Linked DNA regions of Sus scrofa. The protein of the gene in region 2 purifies or fractionates together with the protein of the main gene of each other region. This does not show direct contact. Links are inferred from orthologs where the notes say so. Each region holds a gene or a part of one and is shown on either strand. Other genes may lie near its edges. The genes, in order: COPS5, CDKN1B, CCNE2, CCND3, CDK1, XPO1 and SPDYA.

The links.
Region 1: the proteins of CDKN1B (region 2) and COPS5 purify together in Homo sapiens (affinity purification with western blotting; 11 studies listed by BioGRID and IntAct, with this or other methods). This does not show direct contact. The link is inferred for Sus scrofa from reciprocal best matches to the Homo sapiens genes CDKN1B and COPS5.
Region 3: the proteins of CDKN1B (region 2) and CCNE2 purify together in Homo sapiens (co-immunoprecipitation; 5 studies listed by BioGRID and IntAct, with this or other methods). This does not show direct contact. The link is inferred for Sus scrofa from reciprocal best matches to the Homo sapiens genes CDKN1B and CCNE2.
Region 4: the proteins of CDKN1B (region 2) and CCND3 purify together in Homo sapiens (affinity purification with western blotting; 9 studies listed by BioGRID and IntAct, counting the BioPlex papers as one, with this or other methods). This does not show direct contact. The link is inferred for Sus scrofa from reciprocal best matches to the Homo sapiens genes CDKN1B and CCND3.
Region 5: the proteins of CDKN1B (region 2) and CDK1 purify together in Homo sapiens (affinity purification with mass spectrometry; 8 studies listed by BioGRID and IntAct, counting the BioPlex papers as one, with this or other methods). This does not show direct contact. The link is inferred for Sus scrofa from reciprocal best matches to the Homo sapiens genes CDKN1B and CDK1.
Region 6: the proteins of CDKN1B (region 2) and XPO1 purify together in Homo sapiens (affinity purification with western blotting; 4 studies listed by BioGRID). This does not show direct contact. The link is inferred for Sus scrofa from reciprocal best matches to the Homo sapiens genes CDKN1B and XPO1.
Region 7: the proteins of CDKN1B (region 2) and SPDYA purify together in Homo sapiens (affinity purification with western blotting; 3 studies listed by BioGRID). This does not show direct contact. The link is inferred for Sus scrofa from reciprocal best matches to the Homo sapiens genes CDKN1B and SPDYA.

What each region holds. Positions count from the first base shown.
Region 1 is NC_010446.5:67,754,028-67,757,527, forward strand, and holds part of COPS5 (COP9 signalosome complex subunit 5), read left to right. Parts: intron 1-1,704; coding exon 1,705-1,853; intron 1,854-3,500. UniProt on the Homo sapiens protein: Probable protease subunit of the COP9 signalosome complex (CSN), a complex involved in various cellular and developmental processes.
Region 2 is NC_010447.5:59,733,032-59,737,209, forward strand, and holds the start of CDKN1B (cyclin-dependent kinase inhibitor 1B), read right to left. Parts: upstream 2,801-4,178; 5' UTR 2,759-2,800; coding exon 2,284-2,758; intron 1,738-2,283; coding exon 1,616-1,737; 3' UTR 1,608-1,615; intron 1-1,607. UniProt on the Homo sapiens protein: Important regulator of cell cycle progression. Inhibits the kinase activity of CDK2 bound to cyclin A, but has little inhibitory activity on CDK2 bound to SPDYA. Involved in G1 arrest. Potent inhibitor of cyclin E- and cyclin A-CDK2 complexes.
Region 3 is NC_010446.5:41,803,500-41,807,683, reverse strand, and holds the start of CCNE2 (G1/S-specific cyclin-E2), read right to left. Parts: upstream 2,801-4,184; 5' UTR 2,778-2,800; intron 1,843-2,777; 5' UTR 1,817-1,842; coding exon 1,803-1,816; intron 1,715-1,802; coding exon 1,618-1,714; intron 1,533-1,617; coding exon 1,476-1,532; intron 528-1,475; coding exon 376-527; intron 1-375. UniProt on the Homo sapiens protein: Essential for the control of the cell cycle at the late G1 and early S phase.
Region 4 is NC_010449.5:37,179,663-37,183,764, forward strand, and holds the start of CCND3 (G1/S-specific cyclin-D3), read right to left. Parts: upstream 2,801-4,102; 5' UTR 2,416-2,800; exon of another isoform or gene 1-2,415. Other genes in the region: TAF8 (transcription initiation factor TFIID subunit 8), read left to right, coding at 2,897-2,941, 3,724-3,880. UniProt on the Homo sapiens protein: Regulatory component of the cyclin D3-CDK4 (DC) complex that phosphorylates and inhibits members of the retinoblastoma (RB) protein family including RB1 and regulates the cell-cycle during G(1)/S transition.
Region 5 is NC_010456.5:64,236,989-64,240,488, reverse strand, and holds part of CDK1 (cyclin-dependent kinase 1), read right to left. Parts: intron 180-3,500; coding exon 23-179; intron 1-22. UniProt on the Homo sapiens protein: Plays a key role in the control of the eukaryotic cell cycle by modulating the centrosome cycle as well as mitotic onset; promotes G2-M transition via association with multiple interphase cyclins.
Region 6 is NC_010445.4:80,293,016-80,296,515, forward strand, and holds part of XPO1 (exportin-1), read left to right. Parts: intron 1-2,038; coding exon 2,039-2,233; intron 2,234-3,500. UniProt on the Homo sapiens protein: Mediates the nuclear export of cellular proteins (cargos) bearing a leucine-rich nuclear export signal (NES) and of RNAs.
Region 7 is NC_010445.4:110,426,751-110,430,250, reverse strand, and holds part of SPDYA (speedy protein A), read left to right. Parts: intron 1-1,388; 5' UTR 1,389-1,406; coding exon 1,407-1,641; intron 1,642-3,500. UniProt on the Homo sapiens protein: Regulates the G1/S phase transition of the cell cycle by binding and activating CDK1 and CDK2.

The DNA.
Region 1 (3,500 bases), on a different chromosome or scaffold from region 2:
CTTTTTTAAAATATTACAGTTAAATGTGCATATGTAATTATTAAATTTTTTATTTTTAAAATTTATGAAAGTCTATATCATATTTCAGTTTAACAAATGTGGGTATGCATGTGAGTGTGTGTAGCAATACTCTAAAATACAGCTCTGGTTATAGCGATGTGGAGGGATTATAGGTATTTCCTTTTTTCTGTATATTCCTCTACATTTTCCAAATTTTCTATATAACTATTAACTTTATTTATTTATTTATTTATTGTCTTTTTTTTGCCATTTCTTGGGCTGCCCCCGCAGCATATGGAGGTTCCCAGGCTAGGGGTCAAATTGGAGCTGTAGCCACCGGCCTACGCCAGAGCCACAGCAACGCGGGATCCAAGCCACATCTGCAACCTACACCACAGCTCACAGCAATGCCAGATCCTTAACCCACTGAGCAAGGCCAGGGATCGAATCTGCAACCTCATGGTTCCTAGTCAGATTCGTTAACCACCGAGCCACAACGGGAACTCCAATATAACTATTAACTTTATAATCAGAAAAGCTACAACAAATGTAATTTTTAAAATGCTGATATAAGTACTAATTCTGGAAGTTCAACAAGAAAAAATATAACAAAATTAGCTAACAACCATTAAGCCTTTACCAGGTGCCATGGACAGTCCTAAGAGCTTTATATAATATCACTACAATTTAATCTTCACAATAGCTTTAGGTAGAAATTATCACCTTCCTTCCCCATTTTCACAGGAAGGCTTGAAGGCACAGAAAAGCAAAGGCGCTCTCACAAGGCCTTCCAGTCTGCAGCAGGGCCAGAACCTGGACTCAGACCTGTGTATTTGGAAGCTTCTTATAATAACACATATTAGATTTAAGCAGTCAAAAAGAAAAATTCCAAACTTAGTATTAAAATTATGAAAGGGGAAGAACTCTACATTTGAACTGCATGAGCTTTGGGATCACTTTTTGCAAGTATAATTTGACCTCTTACTTCACTGACTATCTACTTAGATTTCTTTTTTTTTTTTTTTTTTTTTTTTTTTTTTTTGTCCTTTTTGCCATTTCTTGGGCCACTCCCGGCATATGGAGATTTCCAGGCTAGGGGTCTAATCGGAGCTGTAGCCGCCAGCCTACGCCAGAGCCACAGCAATGCCGGATCTGAGCTGCGTCTGCAACCTACACCACAGCTCAGGGCAACACCAGATCCTTAACCCACTGAGCAAGGCCAGGGATCAAACCCGCAACCTCATGGTTCCTAGTCGGATTCGTTAACCACTGAGCCACAATGGGAATTCCTCTACTTAGATTTCATAGTGGAATTATCTGTAAATGAAAGATTCTATATATAACATGGTTGTTTGGGGGTTTTTTTGTCTTTTGTCCTTTTTAGGGCCGCACCCTCGGCATATGGAGGTTCCCAGGCTAGGGTTCTAATTGGAGCTATAGCCACTGGCCACAGCCACAACCCACAGCCACAGCAACTCCAGATCTGAGCCGCATCTGTGACCTACACCACAGCTCACAGCAACGCTGGATCCTTAACCCACTGAGCAAGGCCAGGGATAGAACCCGCAATCTCATGGTTCCTAGTAGGATTCATTTCCACTGCGCCACAACAGGAACTCCAAAAGATCCTATATAGAAGAAAATTTTGTTTTTTTTAATGATAGACTTGTTCTATATATAGACACAATATCATTTTCCCCACAGAATGCAGACTATACCACCGGTCAGGTCTTTGATTTGTCTGAGAAATTAGAACAATCAGAAGCCCAGCTGGGACGAGGGAGTTTTATGTTGGGTTTAGAAACGCATGACAGAAAGTCAGAAGACAAACTTGCCAAAGCTACACGAGACAGGTAAGAGCAAATCTATTCCTCACTCTTTTCTTTCAATATTCAAATTCCTTATGGCTCAACTTACTTATAACTTAGAATGGTACTTGAATATTAACTTCTTTGGGCCTTTAAGAGTTGTCAAAAGCAGGTTTCAGCTGAAATTCTTAAGACGGTAACTAAGAACATCAGAGTCTAAAAGGTCTAGGTAGTGTATGAAAAATTCCCAGTTACCTTTTCTAAGTTCAGCTAGAAACTGTAAGAACGAAAACTAGTCCATTGCTGGACCTTTAAAAAACAAAAACTTGCAAAAGGATGCCCTAACCTGTTCTAACCTTATCATCTAAAGGATTAAATTAGAATTTCTTAAATTTAAAGTTTAACCCCATAAATATCTGATAAATGATTGTATCTCTCTTAATTTTATGTAATAATTCTTTATACAGTATTTTAGTATCCCAAATTTTACTACCAAGAATTTGTTATGAACTTGGGATAGGTTCTCTAATAACATAGGAAATAATTACATGGTGGTCCTTCAGATGCATACAGGATTGGAAAGACTACCAAAAAGCATTTACTTTCACAAAATTTTGAATTGTAATGTGATAGTTAGGAATAGAGAGGGAGGGAAAACTGTGTTGACATCTATATAAACCAATACCTTGGTATCCATTTTTTAAAAACCTGTACCAGTTGGTAAGAAAGAAAAGAGAGAAGGGAGGGCAAAGTGTATTAGAAGTAGATGCCATCTTGGGTTACAATGATCTCATTCCTTTCTTCTCCATGGGTTTTTTAAAGGTATAGAACTAGTAGCCTGGATAAAAATTACATTTTTCTTTGACATGAGATCTTACTTTTGATACTTGATCTTAGTATGTCATTGTGCTCATGTATCTTTATATGTCTCTGATTTACAATTTCATCTGCATTTAAATCTAAATTTCTTATGAAGCAAAAATTTCACTGTGGGAATGTCTCAATTATATAAGAAAAGTAGTAAGAACAAAATTTAAAATAATTTTTAAAAACGATTTTTAAAAAATAGGGAATTTTCAGAGCTCACTTGTGGCTCACTGCGTTAACTATCTGGCATTGTCAGTGCAGCAGCTCAGGTCACTACTGTGGTGCAGGTTCAATCCCTGGCCCAGGAACTTCCACATATCATGGGTGTGGCCAAAAAAAAAAAAATTAGAGAATTTTGCTTTTAGGAGTAACTTTATAAGAATTGCATCTCTTCTGAATATTGGTAGTGTTTTATCATTTTCTTAATCAATTCTAAAATACAAGTCCTTCACTCACTGACCTAACTTTGGCTTTGAATTGTTCAAAGGATGTTTGTGATTATTTCAGGGAGAAAAAGCATAAGATTCTTTAAAATCTTTTTTTTTTTTTTTTTTATGTCTTTTTTGCCATTTCTTGGGCCGCTCCCAAGGCATATGGAGGTTCCCAGACCAGGGGTCGAATTGGAGCTGCAGCCACTGGCCCACACTGGAGCCACAGCAACGCGGGATCCGAGCCATGTCTGCAACCTACACCACAGCGTTGCCAGATCCCCAACCCACTGAGTAAGGCCAGGGATCAAACCCACAACCTCATGGTTCCTGGTTGGACCCATTAACTACTGAGCCATGATGGAAACTCCTAAAATCATTTTTAAAAATTATTCTA
Region 2 (4,178 bases):
GTAGCAAAATTTTCTAAATTTGAAAAATAACTGGAAATAGAAAAGCTCACCAAAGAAAATTCTATTCACCCCCCCCAAAAAAAAAACTAGTTTCTCAGTCGTATGAAGAGTATACACACATGAATGCTTGAGAAGAGGTCCTTACTACTATTTCCTGTATTCGCTGAACTGGCAATATTTACTAACAAATGCCTCTCTGTATGTCAGAATGCGGCCAGATCAAAATCCAGTAGGTCTGATTTGCTGTGGCTCATCTGATGAGCTAGGCCACGAGTCACCAACCAACAAGAGCCACAGGTGTTAAGGTTGACTCAGAAATTTTTTTCACTTCATATACAGCTATAACGTAGGGTTCGATAGTGCCGTGTTGTATAAGCTCTGAAAGATATCAGACGTATGTAATAAAGTCCTACCTGTGACACTGATGTAAAAACACAACAAACTTGAACCCTACCTTCATCCCTGTTCTTTATTTTAAAATTTTTATAAATGAGGATTTTGAAAGTTAATGTCAACATCTCTTAGGATCTCTTTAAATGCTAAGCTATGAGGGTGTTTGTGGAGGGGAAAAAAAAGAGGTCACGGTCATTGTCTGTAAGGAGTGTACAAACTATTAACTAATATATGTAGTTTGATCATTATGGAAACCAATCCATGTAAAGCTGGGGGGCTGAATTATGCAAATTAGTTTTTTACATTGATCAGATTTTAGTAGGTGGAAAAATGTCCACTTGCCTTGTTCGGGGTAGCCCTAACCAGTGGCAGCCCTGGTATCTACTATCCATTTCCCCTACAAATATCCAAATTATCCTGTTATAGCACGATTAGCATACACATGCTGACGTGTTCCTGGATTGCTTACTCTGGCAGAGTTACTTAACTTCTGCTTTGTAACTTCAGTGTTATCAGAAATTCCATAGGAACCTTAGCGTTTTTGAGCCTTCCATTTTGGTTTTTTTTAAATACACAGGTTCCTTCTCCATCCCCCACACTGATCAGAAAACAGGGCAAGTGACACTTTGTGAAAACGATAGATAAAAGAAAGCCACACTCCTCTCTATTCACATTTCTAACCATGTGATTAACCAGATATGAGCCATTTGTACCTAACTTTTCCCTCAAAGTTTTAACTGGATCATTTATTTGCCATTTTTTTCCATGTATGGCTCAAAATCTGTTAGAGTCAGCTTGGTCCTCTGGGAGATGAATTCTCCTGAAGTGGGATGGAGGCAGACCCCCGCTCTTGTTCAGATGGAAAAAGAACCTATTGTTCCCAACACCGTTTTGATGGGACTCTCAGGGAACTGACCTTCCTACCCACAGGGCCTTGGTTGCAAGTATTTGCCTGGGACACTTGCTCTAATCATTGGGAGCTTCAAAGGAAAATGATCTCAGGACAGAGAAACTGGGAAGAATTATAGTACCCCCACCCTGATGCCCAGTCTTTCCCATTCCTCCTTTTTTTGGACCTCATAAAATACAAACAAAACCCCACAAGCTCTAATCTGCCAGACACCACTAAGATCGGGTATCTTGGTGTTTGAAAACCCATGAGTTCCTTCAGCCCAAATCGGGTGTCACTTATTTGCTTCCAGTGATCAACCCACCGAGCAGTTTACGTTTGACGCCTTCTGAGGCCGGGCTTCTTGGGCGTCTGCTCCACTGAAGCCGAGTTCGGGGAACCGTCTGAAACATTTTCTTCTGTTCTGTTGGCTCTTTTGTTTTGAGGAGAGGAATCTAAAGGCAGGAGGGAATTTTAAAAAGAACACACACAAATAATCTTTATTAGAAAAAACAATGGCTGACACAAGTTGGCTCGATACTGAGGGGACAAAAAACCCACCACCTCCACCCACCATCCTGGATCCGTCATTCCCAGTGGCCTTTAAGGGCACAAAATGAGGTTGTTTTCACATAACAGAAAGTGTATTCTACGCCCCAAATCTCTCTCTCTCCAAAGCGAAGAGGGAGGTGGTTGATAAACATCCCAACGTTGTCACATACCTACAGCTGGCTAGCGGGGAGGAGCCGCGATGTTTTCAGTTAGAGAAATTATCAGATAGCACAGTCTCATGCTTCAGACTTAAAAGTCATAAACAGACCAGCAGCTAGCCAAATAGCATTTAAAACCTAAGATGAGGAAGGTGTGTTCCCCAAGAGCTAAGTCAGAATGCGCTGAAAAGAAAGCGGAGGTTTAAGATCCTCAAGCAGGGAAAACAGCACGGCAGACAAACAGAGAGAGGCAGACAAACAGACGTTTCATGCATTCGAAAGGGTCATTACCGTCTGTGGCAGGTCGCTTCCTTATCCCAGTGCACTGCTCCGCTAACCCCGTCTGGCTGTCCGGTGCATCAGTCTTTTGGTCTACCAAATGTGTGTCCTCTGAGTTGGCCTGAGACCCAATTAAAGGCACCGCCTGGCGGGTCCCGCTGACACCCTGGCCCTCCTGCGCCGGCACCTTGCAGGCGCCTTTGGGTGGCCGCGGGGGTCTGTAGTAGAACTCGGGCAAGCTGCCCTTTTCCACCTCCTGCCACTCGTATTTGCCCTCCAGGGGCTTGTGATTCTGAAAATCAAAATTCCACTTGCGCTGGCTGGCCTCTTCCATGTCTCTGCAGTGCTTCTCCAAGTCCCGGGTTAACTCTTCGTGATTGACCGGGCCGAAGAGGTTTCGGCAGGCCGAGGGCTTGGGGTACTCCGCCTGTCTGGCGTCCATCCGCTCCAGGCTCGGGCTCCCGTTAGACACTCTCACGTTTGACATCTTCCTCCCGGGGCTCGGCGACCGCCTCTCTCGCGCTCTCGCAAAACAAAACCGAACAAAACAAAACGCCTCGACCCAGCCCGAGCCCCTCTTATAAGCCCTGCGGCTGCCCTCCGAGCCAAGAGAAACAAACACCGACGAGTAAGCGCCCGAGCGTCAGGAGCGCGCTGGGGCTGGGGGAGGGGGCGAGGGGCAGCCCGGGCCAGGCAGCCCCGAGTCTCCGCCGATCAAGTGTACGGGCGAGCTGGAGGGCGGGGAGGGGAGGGGAGAGGAGCGCAGCGGAGAGAGGAGGGGGCAGAGCCAGTCCGAGTCCCCGCCGCTGCGAGCCCGCGGGTCCCGCCGACCGAGCGGCTCTCCAAACCTTGCCGGCGTCGGAGTCGCGGAGCGGCGAGAAAGTGGGGACAGGGGAGGGGGAGAAAAACACCCCGAAAAGACGAGCCCCCTTTTTTTAGTTGCCCAATATGGCGGTGGAAGGGAGGCTGACGAAGAAGAAGATGATTGACACCGCAAGTCTATTTAAACAGAGGAGGAGATCATTGGTCGCGGCGCCGGGAGCCGCCCAGCCGAGACTGGCGAGCTGGGCCTTAAGGTGGCCCCTGAGCCGCCGCTGCGCCTCCCCGCCTCCCGAGCGCGCCGCCGCCGAGCGCGCGGCCGGGAGCTCGACTGGTCGCGTGACTGCTGGAGGTGCCGGGCTGCCAGCAAACCTGCTCTGGCTGGCCTCGGAGAAATTAAAAATAAGACAAACTCGCCAAAAGGCCGGGGAGCCGGGGAGGGGCCTGGCCGGAGAGGTGGCGGGTTCTGGTCCCTGCGCTGCGCTCCGCTCCGGAGCCCCGACCTCCCTCTCCTCGCCGAGGGCGATCTTATTTTCCCCTCGCTCGCCGAGCGGGTAGGGGCGGGCAGCTGGGCTCGCCGCTGGGCGCTCGGCCCCCAGCTGGGCTCTCTCCCGGGGGGGCCCCCACCGCTCGCTCAGCGGGGGAGGCGGGGAGCCCCTGAGCCTGGGTGCCTTAGCTGGGGGTGAGCAGTGGTTAGCTCACCCTTAACCTAGAAGTCTGTGCTGTTCTAGGGGAGGCAGGGGGCTTAGGGGGGAAGCCCAGGAGGACGTCTTTCTATAAGTAGACTGGAATAGATGCTGCATTTGTAATGTATTCTGAACCCAAGCTCTCCCTCAATAAAAACAAGAAAAGGGCTTCGAGATCAAAAACTCTATTGGTCTCCCAAGTCCCTAATAAACTTAGTAGCTGTCTCAGATACATTTCGTTTAAAAAAGCGAGGATACACCCCTGGCCCAGGTTCTTGCTTCCCAAGCACTGTTAAGGCCACTGACTTGGTCTGCGTGTGGGAACTCGTCTCCTCTTTTATATTTTTCAGTTCTTTCCCGGCTTGTAGCAGTTTCCTCTACCTGAGTCCCGCCGCCAAATAC
Region 3 (4,184 bases), on a different chromosome or scaffold from region 2:
GGCGTCGCTGTGGCTGTGGTGTAGGCTGGCAGCTGTAGCTCCGATTTGACCCCTAGCCTCAGAACTTCCATATGCCCTATGGTGTGGCCCTAAAAGCAAAAAAAAAAAAAAAAAGGTAGTTCAGGTCTTCTGATAAGGCATATACTCCTCAGCAAGCAAATGAAAATAACTTTATAGAATCAATGTTTAAATACCCATGTCATTCGCAAATAGCACTACTCTCAGATAATATATGTTTAAATGCTAATAAAAAAGCAGTTTTTTAAAACAACTTTTCCTAGCCGTATAAAGAAGGCAAAAAAAGCTCAAAATAGCACCATATATTACATCAGTAAATTTTAATCTTTGACATTAAATTATTAAAATTTTTCTTACCTTAAATCAGGCAAAGGTGAAGGATTAATAAAAAGATTTTTAAATCTGTAATTTGTAAATCTGGAGAAGTCACTTGTTCCTATTTCTTTGTGGGGTGTTTCAATAATAATGCAAGGACTGATCCCCCCAGATAATACAGGTGGCCAACAATTCTGTCATTTAAAAAAATAATAAAGAGAATATCTGTGCAGTAGGAACCAGCTTTTGTCTTGGCTCTTTTATAAATGAAGCTAATACAGTCTATAGTTTTCCCCAAACACCATTGTTAGCTAACATTGCTGACAATCTAGTTAATCTGAATTCATATTTTATAAATAAGCCATATAGCTCATATCAATCTTCACAAAGAGTAACAGGTGGGATGTTTTAGACAATAAAATACAATCCTGGAAATACAAGACATTAGGTACTGAGGGAGAGGAGAAATAACAAAACACATCTGTAGTCAAATACCAATCACTTTCAAAATTATAAAATTCTCCCTCTATATTTAGCAATAGTGACCAGGGCACCTTGTTCCATAGAAAGCTGACTCCACCTCCCACACCCTCCGCTCATAAGGCCTGTCCTACTACTTTAGAATGCACGAAGGTAAGTAAAATCTTAAAAGTGGAATCAGTTACTTAAATACTTAGAGGACCCTTTTGCCAATCAATGCTGGTTTCAAAGACAACCACTGTCTTTTAAAATGTTTTTTCTGTACAACACATAGGAAGAAAAGGTAGCAAAGGGCTGAGTGCCAGTCTGTCAGTGACCTCACAGCCTATTTGTGCCCCAGAAGCAGCTATTAGGACCCTCCACTATAGTCAGAGAGGGAACAAAGAGCAGTACATTGGACAGATTAGGCGGGCCCTGGTGCACCAGGCAGCTCCAAGAGGGAGGGATTTACAAAGAGAGACCAGCTGCTTCAAGGCAAACTTACTCTGCAGCTGTAGAGGATTCAGGGACAGAAAAACCACCCAAAGACAAGCACCTTCCTGCTGACCTCTGGAGGCATCAAAAGTGTCAGAGGAATCTTCCCATTGCGAAGCAATTAACACAATGCTATTCTTTTTCGTCCTGCCTTAGTTTTCCCCAAACCCAGCCCAGGTCTGCATTACCCTAATCTCATATTGATGTTTCTTAGTGACCTTCTCCTCTTTTCTTTTTTTGACATCCTGGAAAACAGAAAAGACCATTTGTTAAACTAAAGCACCAGCAAGGAATTTCCTCTCTTTCTCTCTCTCTCCCCTTTTAACTCACCTGGGTCGTTTTTCTTTTCTTGGTCTGAATTATTTGGGCTTCTTGAGGGGAATCCGTCTGACTGGACTGGGGCTGCTGTTTAGCTTGTAAACGGCTACTACAGTTTTAAAAAGGAAGTTTCATTAGTAAGGCATGCGTTTCAAAGGCAGCAGTTAACTTTGAAACATATCTCCAAGACAAATTACCTGCGTCTTGACATTCTCTTCTTTCAGGTGTGTGACACCTCTGGAGGGGAAAGAGGAAAAACCAGAGTCAAATACATTGTCATCCATACTCTCTGAGTGCCAGGTAGACGCTGATTCAGAGGTTACAACCAAGTCCCTCAGGAGATGACCTGAGCCATCTACCACGGTGTCTTCTGCACTGTATTAATTATCTCATGATTTTGGACACATGCCAGTATTTCCTCAGCTGAATGTACAGCCGGGACAGTCTTCAAAAAATCTGTAAAGCACCGCCAGAGCCCCGAACGCTCAGGGAGGCAGATGTATCTTTTCTGCGTCCTGTACCCTCTCCCCCCGACACCCCGAGCGGGACTTGGGCAGCGCCCCCACTTCCCGCCTCCCATCCTGGACGAGCGGCGGAGAGAGGGGGTTGTGGAGGCGAAACGCTGTGGAGAAGCCGGTTCCGCGCCAATTTGGAGAGCGGCGGCGGCGGGGAAGCAGGGGGCGGAGGGAACTGGTGTCACGTACTTCAGTCTCCTTTCCCTCCTTCCCAGCCCCACGGGACCCTGCCCTTCGCTTAGAGGGGCACCGGGACCCCGACTCCAGTTGGGGGATGGGAGTGAAGGAAAGCGAGTTCAATGAAAGAAAAGGGGAAAACTGGGCTGGTGGGGGAACTTTTCTCCCCGTTAAGGGTTCCCGGGCCCACATCCTTTTTCCTGCAGGATAGCTCTCCAAATGGAGGTGGCACAGAGGAGCCCCTAGTATGAGGGGCTTTTCCCTGGCCTCCCACTCAGGGGCAGCCCTCCATCCCCCGCCGCTTCCCCGGCCCCTTGCCAAGGGTCGTGACAGGGACAGAATGCCGAGACCCATCGCCCCCAGCCGCTTAGTTCTCAGCCCTCCCACTTTCCCTCTCCCAGGCTCCCGCCCACGGTATGGATCGGCCCAAGGGGTCTCTCTCTCCTCCCGCATCCCGCCCTACGACCAGCAGCTCCTCACCGCCAGACCCGCTACCGCTCGACTCTCAGCTGGCGCCGGCGCCAACCCAATATATAGGCCGGGCCAGGCCCGCCCCGCACGCATGCGCCTCAGACTGACACCTCCGGACAGCGCGCTCCCCTCCCCCGCGCGCCCGCCAGCGCGCCCGCAGGCCCGCGCGCAGCTCCCTGCAGTCAATTCGCGCCCGCCCACCTCGAGAGGCCGCAGGGCCGGCTCGTCTAGGCCCTAGGTCCGCGGTCACCTGCATTTCACCTGCCCGTGTGGCCCGGCAGCTAGAGGGAGTCGCAGAGGCTCTTCCCCAGCAGCCCAGGTCCCCGCCGCTCGGCTTCCGCATCTCCCCCCAGTACTTTTCCGTCCCGTCTCTCCCTCAACTTTCCGATTCCGGGAGTGTCAGGCCGCGGCCTGGGCTCGACGTACGGCCAGGTGGAGGCAGCACAGGCGAGTATGGAGTGGTCAGGAAGTGGCCATCCTGTGGCGCACCCTGGCTGTCCCGCCAAGGCCTCCAGCAACCCGGGCTTTCCTAAGAGACTCGGGGACCTAGAAGGCCCGCCCCGGAGGGAGGGGCGCAGCGTTGGCTGGCGAGCTGGCCAATGGGAGGCGAGGACGGCAGCACAACGTGGAGTGGCTGCAGAATGTAAACACAGCCAGGCGCGCCGCAGGCCACGTGTGTGTAGGAGAAGGCTGTGGCATCCGAGGGCAGCCATGCTCAGGGATGCCTATCTTGCACTTTGCTTCAGCCTGCCGACTACACTATGCATCAACCCTGCTTTCCTGCTCTCCGCTCCGCAGACCCGTTTATCCTCCGCGTGGGTGGGTCACTCCGCCCCCTGTCCCTGTCTGACAGCTTCCCACTCAGAAGTCCCAGCACAGGAAACGCTCGCGCCAAGTCGCGCCCTCCCTCTCTATCCTCCCAACCTCCAATTCTGGGGCCTCCAAGGGTATACACCTCTCCCGAGGTGCGCCTGGAGTGGGACTGCCCCTTCCTCAGGAGACAATAGTTCTCCCGGGGCAGCGCCCGTCAGGGTGGACGATTCCACCACGTGTAGGCCCCGGACCCGCCCGTCGCGCCCCGCCCAGCGGCCGCTAGCGCGCCCTGCAGAGCCCGCGCTAGCCGCCCGCGCGGGAGGGAGCCTCCCGCCTCCGAGCGGTAATGGGGGGCGGTCCGACCTATTTCCCTCTTTCCCCGCCCTGTATCTAAATTTTGGGTTCCCTCACTGCCTCTACTGACGCTCCGCTCCAGTGCGTCCCAAGATTGGACATCTCCAAGTAGGACATGCCGTTTATACTCTGCAAGCAGGTTTGCTGCAGGAGCATGGGGCGAGGCACGCTGGAGGGAACAAAGACCCCTGCGGCGGAGGAGCGGTGCAACGACTTTCTTGAACCCGCGGCAACTCGTGCCAGACGCTG
Region 4 (4,102 bases), on a different chromosome or scaffold from region 2:
AGCGCTCACCTCACAGGACGGGCAGAAGAATTAAACCAGACATCACACCAAAACCATTTAGGAGGGTACTTGACAGTGCTATAGAAGCCCTAGCTGTTGCTCTGGACCCTTTAGGGAAGGAAATGGCAAAGAGAAGACACTCGGAGGTCATGGGCTCAAGGACCGGACAGACTAGGTTCCTGCTGGAATTCTCAGAGTCGCTTTTGATCCTAAAGTCCAGGGGAGCAGAGGCTCTGACTTGTCAACCATTATGTCCTGTGCAGACAGTGTGGCCACAGCAAACAGGTGTTGGATGGTTGAATCCATTGCTGTGTCAGCCATCTCCCAAGGGAGCCTGGGGACTGAAAAAGCAGAAGAACCTACAGGGAAGCATGGGGGGAATCCAGTTCTCTTCACTCTCTGGTCCCAAAGAGAAAGGGCACAGTGCAAGGACTTGGTAGAGGACGCAGTCCCAGCATCCAGGGACGGGGAGTGGGTGGTGCCCCAGGACTGTGTGGACTGTTACATCACCCCTGGGGTGGACTCTCCTAGCTTCGTCCAGCTGGAAATTTCTGGGTTCTTGGGGACCAGCCCGGACACATGCCTTTCCCTAAAGTCATCCTGTTACATTCCTATCTCTTCTTCATGTCTAGACAGTGGGTTAAAGAATGCCGAGACGGCTTCTGGGTGCCCACTGTTTTCCAAGGCCCAATGCCACAGTCAGGGGCGAGTCCAGCTCTGCAGAATCAATAAGTGCCCAGCAAAGACTTCCCATCACACCTCTGCCTGGGGACTAGTCATCATTCAGAAGCCAACTCAAATGTCCTCTTCTCTCTGAAGCCTTCCCAGCCACCCCAACCTGGCACCTTATCTCTGGTGTTCTATGACCCAGGCTAGATCACTGTGGACAAATAACATCACTGCACCCTCAGCGCCCACACACCATCCCAGACACATACTAGGCGCTCAATGTGTGCAAATGAATACCGTAATGCTTTCTGAATAATAGCAACCAATTTCCTCAGTTAATCCTCTTGTTGACACATTAAAAGACACAGAAGAGGCTAAAGCCGTCACTTGTGTAACCCGCAGACACCAAAGGGACCCCCACTGAGAGGCTCCTCCTTCCAGTCCTCTGGCCTCCTCCCTCAGCCCTGGCTGGCAGGAGGACCCCCAAGGCTCGCTGCCCACACTGGGTCTGCCCCCCTACTGCCTCCCACCCCATCTCTGAATTATGAAGAAGGACGACAGACAGCCCAGTGAAGTCACTAGGCTTCCAGATCAGTTTGAAGAGGGCCTGTGTGGACACAGAGAAAGTTCAGAGCTTTGGGGGAGCTCTCTGCCTTTCAGCCTCTGCAACTCAGAGAGAAAGTGAACCGAGCTTTGAGAGACATCGAGGAGGCTGATCAGGTCGCCACCTCCGACTCCCCGCCCAGGTGTCCCGCCTCAGCTCGAAGGCCCCAGCGAAGCGGGGAGATGCTGACACCCATCTATCTTGGCTTCTCCAGCCTTCAAGCCTACCTCCTCGGCAGGTGAGCCCCCCGGAGCACTGGCCGTGGCCGCAGACACTCTCCCGCCGCCGCCTCTGGTTTCTGTCTTTGGCGAGGTGGGGGGTCGCCACCTCCAGCCGCGGGGAGGGGCGTGCACCCCTCCCCCAGACGCCCAAACAGAACCAGTCTCCACCGCCGCAGGCGCGGCGTGTTTACAAAGTCGGCGCCGCGCCGCCAATCCCGAGTTTAAAGCTGGGCAGGAAGTGGGGAAGGGGGGGCGGAGGAGACAAAGGGGCTGGGTGCTCTGCTCAACTCAGGTTTGGGGCCCGATTTCTCCGGGTGGCTCACCCCGCGCAGCGACCCCGACCGTCAGACCTGCCCCCTGTGCCCCAGGTGAGGGGACCGGGCGCCCCCCACGCTCAGGTGCGCGCGGCGGGGCAGGCGTGGCGCAGGTTTCCCCGACTTCTGCATGTGAGCGTTTTCTGCTCATCCACTCGCCACGCAAGAAATAAATAACATTAGGCGCTGCTTCTTGACCTCTTACTCTCAGTCTGCACAGTGATAAACTCTGTGTATATTAGCTTATTCCCTCCCCCGCGGCTACCCATCCCACCCTAATTTCACGAAAGAGGAAACTGAGGCAAAGTGAGGTTAGGTAATTTGCCCGAAGTCCCACAGCTGGCGAGTGCTGAGATTCAAACCCAGCCTCTGCGAGCTGCCGGGCACCCGCAAACGGAGACAGACGAGGCGCGGTGCATGAAGGACCCCCATCCAGAGGGGCTGACCCGCGAGTGAACCGCAGAAAACCACAGGCACTACGTAGACTCCACGGCCTGGGAGTGAGGCAGGCACCGGACAGCCTCCTACCGCCGACGCCTCCCGGCTCGCCCCAAAAATACCTGAGGGTTAATTGAGGGCGAGAAGGCAGCCGGATGCAGTGGCACACCTGGATTACGTGACTGCTGGCTCTCGTTCCAAGTGGGCCATTGGCTGGCTCTGGGTCCGTCAGCACAAAACAAAGCTTCCCCAAATATCCAGGCTCAGGAGACTCACTTGGAGAACTTAAGAATACAGATGCCCAAGACCCCTCCTCCAGAGAGTAAAGTCACGGGGATCCGCCGGACCTAGCCAGGTGTGGCTAACAATCAGGCAAGTTTGGAGCGTTCCAGGGATGTGCTTTTTATGAAAAACGATTTCGTTTTTAAATAGGTGTGAAACCGAGGGCTCATTTTCCTAGCCACTTCCGGGGCTCGCTGAACCCACCGTTCACAGGTCACGTGAACCGGGATAACCAGACTCACCCCCGACCCGGCTGGGCCCCACAAAGCCCAACGGGGCGCGCGGCCCCGCCCCCTCGCGGTTCCTCCCCGCCGGGTGACTACAAGTCCCATCCTGCCGTGCGCTCGCGCACATTACGCCAGAGCAAGATGGCCGACGCGGCGGCCACTGCCGGGGCCGGGGCCTCCGGAACGGTAAGGGCGGGAGGCGCGGGGCGGAAGCCCAGAGAGCCTGGGGATTCTGTAATGTCCCCCTAGCCTTGGCAACATGTTCACACCCAGAAATAGGGCCCCACCACATGCTCTGAGTGGAGGAAGGTCTTTCAGGCCGTATATGCCCCCCTCCTCCTCCTCGAGACTTGGCGGCGGCCTCGGGAGTTGGTGGACCTGTGTACTGATTGGCTCATTCTCTGTTGGGGGTTGGGAACCCGGAACACCTCCTGATTGGTCCAGTGGGGCTCTTTTCGCCTTCTTATTGGCCCGCCAAAGTTGGGAGGGATTCCTGTTTCAAAATATTTAGCTTTTTAATTTGTCGATGTTCTTATCATTTGCCCTCCTCTACTCAGCAGCATGTGTTGTTTGTTGTTTTAATTTTCCTCGTTAATGGTGTGGAGATGGGAGGGACAAAAGAGAGATTACTTTTTTTCTAGGAGATGGACCAATGAATTCAATTCTATCCTGCATGTTTCTTCAGCTATATATTCAGATAATCCAAAATAGAAAGTAGGAAACGGCCATTTTGTACTATTGTAATTGATAAGTTTTACCTAGGCAGAAAGGCTGTTTTCGAATTTAGAGCCACTTGGGTGCTCAGTTATTTGGCGAAGAGCTGTAAGTCTAAACATCAGGAGCTACCACACTGATACATAAAGATTTAGCAAAAGAACCTTTGTTTGCCATTGACAATATGTGAACTACATGACTGCATCCTCGTCCTGAGGATGAAAGTATTCTCTTTCTGGGCTGCTGATTTACAGAGATCAGGAAGTAAACAGTCCACTAACCCTGCTGATAACTACCATCTGGCCCGGAGGCGAACTCTGCAAGTGGTTGTGAGCTCCCTGTTAACAGAGGCAGGGTTTGAGAGCGCTGAGAAAGCATCTGTGGAAACACTGACAGAGATGCTGCAGAGCTGTAAGTACCAGGAAACAAGGGGCCTTCTGAGTCAACCAAACATCTGTGCTCTGTCTTGAGAGAGTATTAGGATTTAAGAAAAAGAAGAACCTAGTGGAGTTCCCCTTGTGACGCAGTGGTTAACGAATCTGACTAGGAACCATGACGTTTCGGGTTCGATCCCTGGCCTTGCTCAGTGGGTTAAGGATCCGGCGTTGCTGTGAGCTGTGGTGTAGGTCGCAG
Region 5 (3,500 bases), on a different chromosome or scaffold from region 2:
ACACTCTGATATTATACCATACCTGACTATATTTGGATGGCGAAGTTCTTTTAATAGAGATATTTCTCGAATGGCAGTACTAGGAACACCTTCCTCTTCACTTTCTAGCCTGATTTTCTTCATGGCTACCACTTGACCTGTAGTTTTGTGTCTACCCTTATACACAACTCCATAGGTACCTGAAATAGACAAAGTAAACATCTGCTAGGTGACACCCTCCTCAAACTAAAGATTTTTAAACATGATTGATCCCAGAGTTCCCACTGTGGCACGGTGAAAACAAATCAGACTAGTATCCATGAGGACACTAGTTTGATCCCTGGCCTCAGCCAAGAATTGGGCATTGCCGTGAGGTGTAGTATAGGTCTCAGGGGCCCCTTGGATCCACTGCTGCTGTGGCTGTGGTATAGGACGGCAGCTGTAGCTCAGATTCAACCCCTAGCCTGGGAACGTCCATATGCTGCAGGCGCGGCCCTAAAAAAATAAAAATACAAAAAGGAGTTCCTGTCGTGGCTCAGTGGTTAACAAATCCGACTAGGAACCATGAGGTTGCAGGTTTGATCCCTGGCCTTGCTCAGTGGGTTAAGGATCTGGTGTTGCCGTGAGCTGTGGTGTAGGTCAAAGCCTCGGCTAGGATCCTGCATTGCTGTGGCTCTGGCTGGCAGCCACAGCTCCAATTAGACCCCTAGCCTGTGAACTTCCATATGCCACGAGCGTAGCCCTAGAAAATACAAAAAAAAAAGAAAGAAAACAAAATAAAAAAACCCTCCAGGACATAGACTTTTGTATATAATTTATTAAAAAAAAAAAATAGGACAGGAGTTCCCATTGTGGCTCAGCAGTTTATGACTTTGTCTCCGTAAGAATACAGATTCGGGAGTTCCCGTCGTGGCGCAGTGGTTAACGAATCCGACTAGGAACCATGAGGTTGCGGGTTCGATCCCTGCCCTTGCTCAGTGGGTTAACGATCCGGCGTTGCCGTGAGCTGTGGTGTAGGTTGCAGATGCGGCTCGGATCCCGCGTTGCTGTGGCTCTGGCATAGGCCAGTGGCTGCAGCTCCGATTCGACCCCTAGCCTGGGAACCTCCATATGCCGTGGGAGCAGCCCAAGAAATAGCAAAAAGACAAAAAAAAAAGAATACAGGTTCGATCCCTGGCCTTGCTCAGTGGGTTAAGGATCCAGTGTTGCCACAAGATGAGGCATGGGTCACAGACGCTATTCCAATCCAGTGTTGCTGAGGCTGTGGTGTAGGCCTACACCTGCAGCTCTGATTCTACACCTAATTTGGCAACTTCCATATGCCGTGGATGTGATTGTAAAAAGAAAAGCAGAACAGAGTTTATATAGCATCAGTTTGCCTTGACAAAACTATCCTTAATATTCTAATCAAGCAAGTAGTAGGTCATTATTTGTTAGAGGCCTTTTCTGAAGTATGGCTATCTTTGGAGAAACTTAAAAAACTGTAGAATAGACCTCCCTAGATATTAGAGCACTGTAACTGCTTTGAAGTTACACTCATGTCATAGAATAACAGTAAAAGCTATTCAACAAAATTACCATACACTTTAGGGGGTTAAGACTTTTCTAAATTGTCCAACCCCAGCTTAAAAAAAAAAAAAAAACAAACCAATTATCTAGGGATCCTGTATATGAACTGGTTTTTAGCTGATTGGTCCATCGTCTCCCTTATTGCCATCTGTTTCCTCCATTCATTCATACCAGGATCCCTTATATTGACCTCGTTGCTCATTATCTGAAGCCCTTATATTAGCATCAACTTCAAAGTGGATGTGAGGCTTTCCGTAGATAATACGAACTTGAATAGATTAAATATTTAATAAAATATTTTCTTTTCTGGATGAGTATTGTTGACTGTTCAATGTATGCATGAAGTATTCTACATGAAATTTTCTGAAAGTATCACTGTGACTCCTGTTAGTATTATTTCCTGACCCCAAATTTTTACACTATTTTATGCCTACCTTGTTGGGTAGGACATTTGACAGGAGAGAAGTTTCCAATTTGCAAATGATCCTTTTTCTCTAAAATGGGCTGGAAAATTAGAAAATTGTGACTACATGAGCTTTCTAAAGTATGGATACAATAGGCTGTAGTTAACCTCAGTGTTTTTTGCAGAGTGAGAGGGTACAACTATGAGTAAGATGCTTCCTCTCTGGCCACAACAGAAGTTTCTATCCTTGACACCTTATGGGATTGATTGTTTTTTCTTTTTTCTTTTTAGGGCCACACATGTGGTATATGGCATATGTAGGCTGCTGGTGCTGGCCTACACCTGTCACAGCAATACCAGATCAGAGCCGCACCTGCGATACATACCACAGCTCAGGGCAAAGCCAGATCCTTAACCCACTGAGGCCAGGAATCAAATCTGCATTCTCATGGATACTTGTCAGGTTCTTAATCCATTGAACCACAATTGGGAACTCCCTGTCTTGGTATCATTTTAAAGACATAATTTGACATAAAATCCATTGCATATCATTTGATTAAATTTAGATTAACTGTGCTTTGGATAACCAAAATTATTGAAGACTATGTAGGATTAATCTTATTTGCTCTTCATAACCATCCTTAAAAGTAGCCAACTTTAGGAGTGCCTGTGTGGCTCAGCAGGTTAAGAACCTATCTAGTATCCATGAGGATGGCGAGTTCAATTCCTGGCCTTGCTCAGTGCGTTAAGGATCCAGCATTGCCACAAGCTGCAACATAGGTCACAGATGCAGCTCTGATCTGTCATGGCTGTGGCATAGACTGGCAGTTGCAGCTCCAATTTGACCCTTAGCCTGGGAACTTCTAAATGTCACAGGAGCTGCCACGAAAAGAAAAAATAAAGTAGGTAACCTTCTCTAGACTTAAAACCTACATTTTTCAAATGTAAATTGTACTTGCATTAAACACAAAAGCAGGTAAGCTAGAAGCACCCTCATCTGGCACACCATTTACACTCAGAAGATTAGTCATTTGTGGAATATAGCCAAATAGGCAGTTAATTTTAAATACAAAAAAATTTTTTTTAGTATTCTTACTTTTCCCTCAAGTGTACAGCACTCATAGACCTAAAATCTACTTATAACAACCATTAATTTATAGTAAACACTCAAGAATTACTGAGTTTTAAACATCATAAGTGCTCTATGTCTCCCTCCTGACTCTGAATTATCACTTCTCATTGAACTACTAGAATAGAGCTCTAGTTAAATAGAACAAAAGGATTCTACTGATTAAGCACCAAAAATATTTGTATGATACAAGGTATATGCTCTGAACTGAATATTTAAAACTTAAAAAACATTTGCTATGGTCAAATTATAAAGCTGCTGGTGGTAAACAAAAAAAACCTTTAATCAACAAATCTTTAGAGTACCTACTAAATGCCAATTAAGGTTCCACATCATGGCTGTAACCATGCTATGATCTAAAAAGATGTTTTCTTAAAGACACGAAGGAATTCAAAGACTAATGTTACAACACTCAGACTT
Region 6 (3,500 bases), on a different chromosome or scaffold from region 2:
GTATGCCATTTATTTCATAATTTTGGGATTTCAATATTGTTCCTATTTATAGGGAAAATTTTTAGGAAATTCTTAAGGTATCAACCTTAAATACCAAAAGGTTTTAAAGGTGCATTATGAGATTAGAACTTAACTTAAAATTGGAAAGTAGGGGTTACTGTCATGGCTCAGTGGTTAAGGAATCCAGCTAGGAACCAGGTTTGATCCCTGGCTTCACGCAGTGGGTTAAGGATCTGGCGTTGCCGTGAGATGTGATGTGGTCACAGAGGCGGCTCAGATCTGGCATTGCGGTGGCCCTGACGTAGGCTGGTAGCTGTAGCTCCGATTAGACCCCTAGCCTGGGAATGTCCATGTGCCGAAAGTGCAGCCCTAAAATGACAAAAGACAAAAAAAAATTGGAAAATAAAAAATAGGATGAACTGAAGGGATTGAGAAGTTCATAATTTATAAAAATTTGGGCAGTAATTTCAGAAGTATTAGTGTTAATAACAAGAAAGGTATTATTTTACAACTAAGATTTGAGTTTTGAGACTGAATTAAAAGAGCCAGTTTACAGGAAAATAATTTCAGATACTTGAGGGTAGAGGAGGAAAGAAATAGGTGAGGTAGATTATGAAGTACAAACTTCTGGAGTTCACGTCGTGGTGCAGTAGAAACAGTTCGACTAGGAAGCATGAGATTGTGGGTTCGATCCCTGGCCTCGCTCACTGCGTTAAGGATTTGGTGTTGCTGTGACCTGTGGTGTAGGTCGCAGACTTGGCTCAGATCCCACGTTGCTGTGGCTCTGGCATAGGCTGGCAGCTACAGCTCTCATTGGACCCTTAGCCTGGGAACCTCTTAGGGTGCAGCTCTAAAAAGACAAAAAAAAAAAAAAACCCACAAAACTTTAAAAAAAAGTTCAAACCTCTAATTACAAAATAAATGAGTCACAGATATGAGATGTTTCAAATCACTATGCTGTGTAACAGGAGTTAACATTAGCAACAAACATACAACAAATTCAGAAAAAGAGATCAGATTTGTGGTTACCAGAGGAGAGGGATGGGATAGGGAGAATTGAATGAAGGTAGTCAAAAGATGAAACTTTCAGTTTTAATATAAATAAGAACTAAGGATGTGATATACAAAAACGATAAGTAAAACTAACATTGCTGAGGAGTTCTCTTGTGGCCCAGTGTTAGCAAACCTGATTAGTACCCATGACGATGGGGGTTCAGTCCCTGGCCCCGCTCAGTGGGTTAAGCATCTGGCATTGCCATGAGTTGTGGTGTATGTAGGTGGCAGACTCGGTTCAGCCCCTCCTTTGCTGTGGCTGTGGTGTAGGCTGGCAGCTGTAGCTCCAGTTCGACCTCTGGTCTGGAAACTACCATATGCTGCAGTGCAGCACTTTAAAAAAAAAAATAGAACTAACATTGCTGTGTATTATATAAGAAAATTGTAAGTAAAGTTATACAGTGCTGTACATTAAGCATGTCTCAGACTTGAAGATCAAGAAAAATAAGTAAGAACTAGTTTTAAAAAAAACCAAATGGGTAAAAGGACAATAATTTTTTGCTTGTTAAAAATCTTACTAGACCTGTTTTGCATAGTGGGACACTACTAACCAGTAATCTTTAAAGGAAACATTGGTTGTATTTATTGTTAAACATCTTAATGGAGAACCTATTAAAAACATGAAAGTTACGCCTTAATAAGACTTTATTGAGAGTAAGTGGTGGGTCTCTACTTTGAAGTTAACCATCCCTCATACACAGTACCTTAGAATCCTGGTCCTGCTGCATTAGAGCTAGTCACTTGATTTGAGGCCTCAGTTTCCTTTAATAATTAACAGATTTAAACTACATTGTCTATGGCCCCCTCAGACTATCATGATCTCTTGGTAGAAAATTTTAATACATTAAACTTAAAGTATAGGAGTTAGCAGTTTTCAGCAGATACTCAACCTAAATTAGAGATATTGACTTAGCTACTTAATGAGTTAACAAGTGCCTAAATTAATGTTGAAAATTTTTTGTTTTGTTTTTCCTTTTTTTAACAGGTAGCTGAAAATTTTGTTCCTCCTCTGTTGGATGCCGTTCTCATTGATTATCAGAGAAATGTCCCAGCTGCTAGAGAACCAGAAGTGCTCAGTACTATGGCTATTATTGTCAACAAGTTAGGAGGACATATAACAGCTGAAATACCTCAAATATTTGATGCTGTTTTTGAATGCACATTGAATATGATAAATAAGGTATGTGATCTGCATTTTTTAATGTACAAGAAATTATAATAGCAAGGTACATTTGAGATTGTTCAAATAGCAACTTGCATTTATTGAAAAATTGGCTTTAGTTGTATTTGTTGAAATAAACAGGCGGGTTTACATTTTTAGTTTTTATAAGTATAGTATATCCTTATAAAGAATGGGGAAATGTATTAACCAAGAGGAAGAAAAGGTACATGTAAGTCTATACCTTTATGCAGTAGGTAACAATTTTCTAATCTGTACAGTGGTCTCAAGGTCATTAAAATTGGTAGTGGGAGTTCCCGTCGTGGCGCAGTAGTTAACAAATCTGACTAGGAACCATGAGGTTGCGGGTTCGGTCCCTGCCCTTGCTCAGTGGGTTAACGATCTGGCGTTGCTGTGAGCTGTGGTGTAGGTCGCAGACTTGGCTCGGATCCTGCGTAGCTGTGGCTCTGGTGTAGGCTGGCGGCTACAGCTCTGATTCGACCCCTAGCCTGGGAACCTCCATATGCCGCGGGAGCGGCCCTAGAAATGGCAAAAAGACACACACACACACACACACACACACACAAACACACACACACAAATTGGTAGTGATGGAATTGCTATTGTGGCTGAGTTGGGTTAAGAACCCAACTAGTATCCATGAGGATGTGGGTTCTATCCCTGGCCTTGCTCAGTGGGTTAAGGATCTGGTGTTGCCGTAAGCTGTGGTATAGATCTCAGATGCCCAAATTCAACCCTAGCCTGGGAATTTCCATATGCCACAGGTTCGCCCTAAAAAGAAAAAAAAAAGTTGGTAGTGATTGTGTTAAAGTTACTAGAAAATGTGCGTGGTTCTTAGGTGGCTTTTTTTTTGGTCTTTTAAGGGCCACACTCTTGGCATATGCAAGTTCCCACCCTATGGCTCAACTACTGGCCTGTGTGCTCACCAAGGCTGGATCTGAGCCACATTTGCGACCTACACCACAGTTCACAGCAAGGCCAGATCCTTACCCACTGGGCAAGGCCAGGGATAGAACCTGCATCCTCATGGATACTGTTCAGGTTTGTTACCGCTGAGTCACAATGGGAACTCCTCTTACGTGGCTTTTGATGAGTTCTCTTTATAATTAAATGACCTTGTATTCCTTTGTTTTGGGAAGTGATTGGTATAATAAATAGTAATTTTGTCTTACTTGAGAGGTGAATTCTGTTGTCTTTGGGTTTGCTTTTTCAGCAGGCCATACATCTTATGGGATCCACTAAAAACTCCAAACATTTATACTGAATT
Region 7 (3,500 bases), on a different chromosome or scaffold from region 2:
AAAAAAATTAAAAATAAAAAACTGAAGGAGTGTAAAATTGTTTTCCTTTATACACTACATCATTGTTTTGGTAAGACTACATTTCACTTTTAACTATTGGAAATTTTAGCATCCGAATTAAGCTATAAGTGTAAATACACACTAGATTTCAAAGACTTAGTTTGAAAAAAGAATGTAAAGTATCTCATTAATTTTTATATTGATTACATGTTAAAATGATATTTTGGATATACTGGGTTACACAAAATATACTCCTAAAATTAAATTCACTTATTTGTACTTTTTAAATGTGGCTTTAGAAATATAAAATTACATATGTGGCTTACATTACACTGGACAGTGCTGATCTAGCCCCACTATATCCAATCTTATTTTCCATTCCTTCCTTCAGCAGGGAAGTTTCTGAGGGTCAGGAAGGAGAATCTGTACCTAACTCCTTGAACATCAAGGGAGGCATGGCTGCCTGGGTCACTGTGAGTTATGGATTCAGAGGTTCTCATTAGGGTCTTAGAGTAGTTTCCTGCTTTGGCTACTCGTAATTCCATCTCCTATTACTATACAAATACCTTGAGCATAAAAATAATACTAACTAGTAATTTTGTGAACTGATTACCACCAAACATGGTAGTGATTATGCTTATTGTTAAATATCAATGAATTAACTTTGTTTCCATTTTTATTAGACTGTAACAGGTTATACTCATTTACACTGGTAATCAGCCGCTTAAATAGCCTGTCATACATTCGACTATAGGAATTAAAGGAATCAATTTATGAGAATTGTTCAGTGGGCATATACCATGCATTTCTTTGCAAGAATTATTTTTAAATTTTGAATAAATATCAATAAATGCTTATTGAACTAGTGAATTTTATAACATATCAAGGAATTTACCAGTTAGAAAATATGTTTTTGTGTGTATGAGATTGCTTTTTAATCTAATACTTGATAATAATTTAGTTCTGGAAACAGTTTGCCTTATTCTATTAAAAAAAATGACATAATAATCATATGATAAAATTATGTCAATTCAAGCATAATAAAAAATTATCAGGAAAAAAGAGTACCACAAATAGACTATATACTCAGCATAGTTTCTTTAACTAACTTTAAAATTTGATTTTGTCTGCTCTAGTAGTCAAAGCAAAATGATATGCAGGATCTTATTGTTTGGGAAGAAGAGGTATATCAGTTACCCAAAGGAAGTATAGCTTTTCTTAACACTAATTTCTAAAAGCAGTTTCTCATGTGAGTCATTGTCATCAATAACATTTTAGTAGCAAGTTCAGTAACATTTCCTATGACTGCATCTGATAGTGTCATCCAGTTAGTTGTTTTTATATAGAAATGAACAAAAGTGTGATAAATAACTGTTTTATATTTACAGGAATCGTGGGAAACCAAAATGAGACATAATCAGCTGTGTTGCGAGACACCACCTACTGTCACTGTACATGTAAAATCAGGGTCAAATAGATCACATCAGCCCAAAAAACCCATTAATCTGAAGCGTCCTATTTTTAAAGATAGTTGGCCAGCATCTGAAAAAAATGCACATAATAGCAACAAGTCTAAACGCCCCAAAGGACCCTGTCTAGTTATACAGCGTCAGGAAATGACTGCTTTCTTTAAATTATTTGGTAGGTTTAAAATATTGTTGCAATGGTTAATTGTAATAATGGAACTTTGAAATGAGAGAATATGAAGATCTATTTAATCATTTTAATAATGATCAAAGAAAATGTCATTTTTTTTTTTTAAGGGCCACACCTGTGGCACATGGACGATCCCAGGCGAGGGGTTGGATCAGAGCTGCAGCTGCTATCCATAGCCATAATACATCTCGCAGCAACACCAGATTCTTAATCCACTGAGCAAGGCCAGGATCGAACCTTCATCTTCATGGATTCTAGTCGGGTTCTTAACCTGCTGAGCCACAATGGAAATTCTATATGCTGTTATTTTCCATGTATAGATTTTCTATGTCCAACCAAATTTGTTTTTGTTTTACTTAGTTCTTTTTTTTTTTTTTTTTTTGCTTTTTAGGGCCACACCTCAGCATATGGAGGTTCCCAGGCTAGGAGTCAAATCTGGCCTATGCCACAGCCACAACAATGCAGGATCTGAGCTGCATCTGGGACCTACACCACAGCTCACGACAACACTGGATCCTTAACCTGCTGAGCAAGGCCAGAGATCAAACTGCAACTTCATGGTTTCTAGTCGGATTCATTTCTGCTGCACCACAATGAGAAGTCCGTTTTTTTTGTTTTTTTTTTTTTAATGCTGAATTTTTGTTTTGATTACTTTTGGAGCAGAAATTCAGATTCATCTAGCTTCTAGACTATTTATTTATTTATTTATTTTTCTTTTCTTTCTTTCTTTATTTATTTTGTCTTTTTGCCTTTTCTAGGCCTGCTTCCCGCAGCATATGGAGGTTTCCAGGCTAGGGGTCGAATCAGAGCTGTAGATGCCGACCTGTGCCAGAGCCACAGCAATGCAGGATCCGAGCCTTGTCTGTGACCTACACCACAGCTTACGGCAACACCAGATCCTTAACCCACTGAGCAAGGCCAGGGATCGAACCCGCAACCTCATGGTTCCTAGTCAGATTCGTTAACCACTGTGCCACGACGGGAACTCCCATAGACTATTTAAATTCAAGTGTCAATGTACATTTCTGGGCAGTTCAAGTTCATAGTTTGAGTTTTGTTTGACCTCAAGTAAACTATTTCAGAAAGTCTCAGGGGAGCCAACTGACCCTGGTGTCACTGGGCCTGAGGGGTTTCCTGGGACTTTCAGTGCTAAAATTGAGCAAACTTGGAAAGTTAGTCAACCTAGAGAAGTTCCAGTATTATATTTGGGGAATATTATTAAAAATTAACTATGCTTTATCACCGTGGTCATATAATGAAGTTGAATGTGGATTTGTTCAGATCATGAAACTGCTACTTTGCTGATAAGCTTCTTAAAAATAGACAAAAAGAAACTCCTTTATAGTATTTCTACTAGCCGAGAAAGACAAGGATTTTTTTTTTTTTGAGTTAAGGCAGTAAGCAAAATTATTATCCATAAACTTTTTATTATTCATAATTGAACATGAGAAATTAGACGAAATAACCTGGTTCTACCATTTTAGATGGTTTAAGAAATAGAAATGGGATTAATAAGGCAGAGATTAATTATTCTCAGAAAATCAGTACTTATCCTTAGAATTTCCATGTATTTGACCATTGGCAATATTAAGAAGTTATGCTTTGTTATTTAACTCAAAATGAAGGGGGAGGAATTCCTATTGTGGCTCAGCAGGTTAAGAACATGACTAGTGTCCATGAGGATGTGGGTTCCATCCCTGGCCTTACTCAGTGGGTTAAGGATCCTTGTAACCACAAGCTGCAGTGTAGGTCACAGATGTGGCCTGGATCTAGTATTGGCTGTGGCAGTGGTGTAGGCCAGCAGCTGCAGCTCCAATTCAATGTCTAGCCCCGGGAACTTCCAA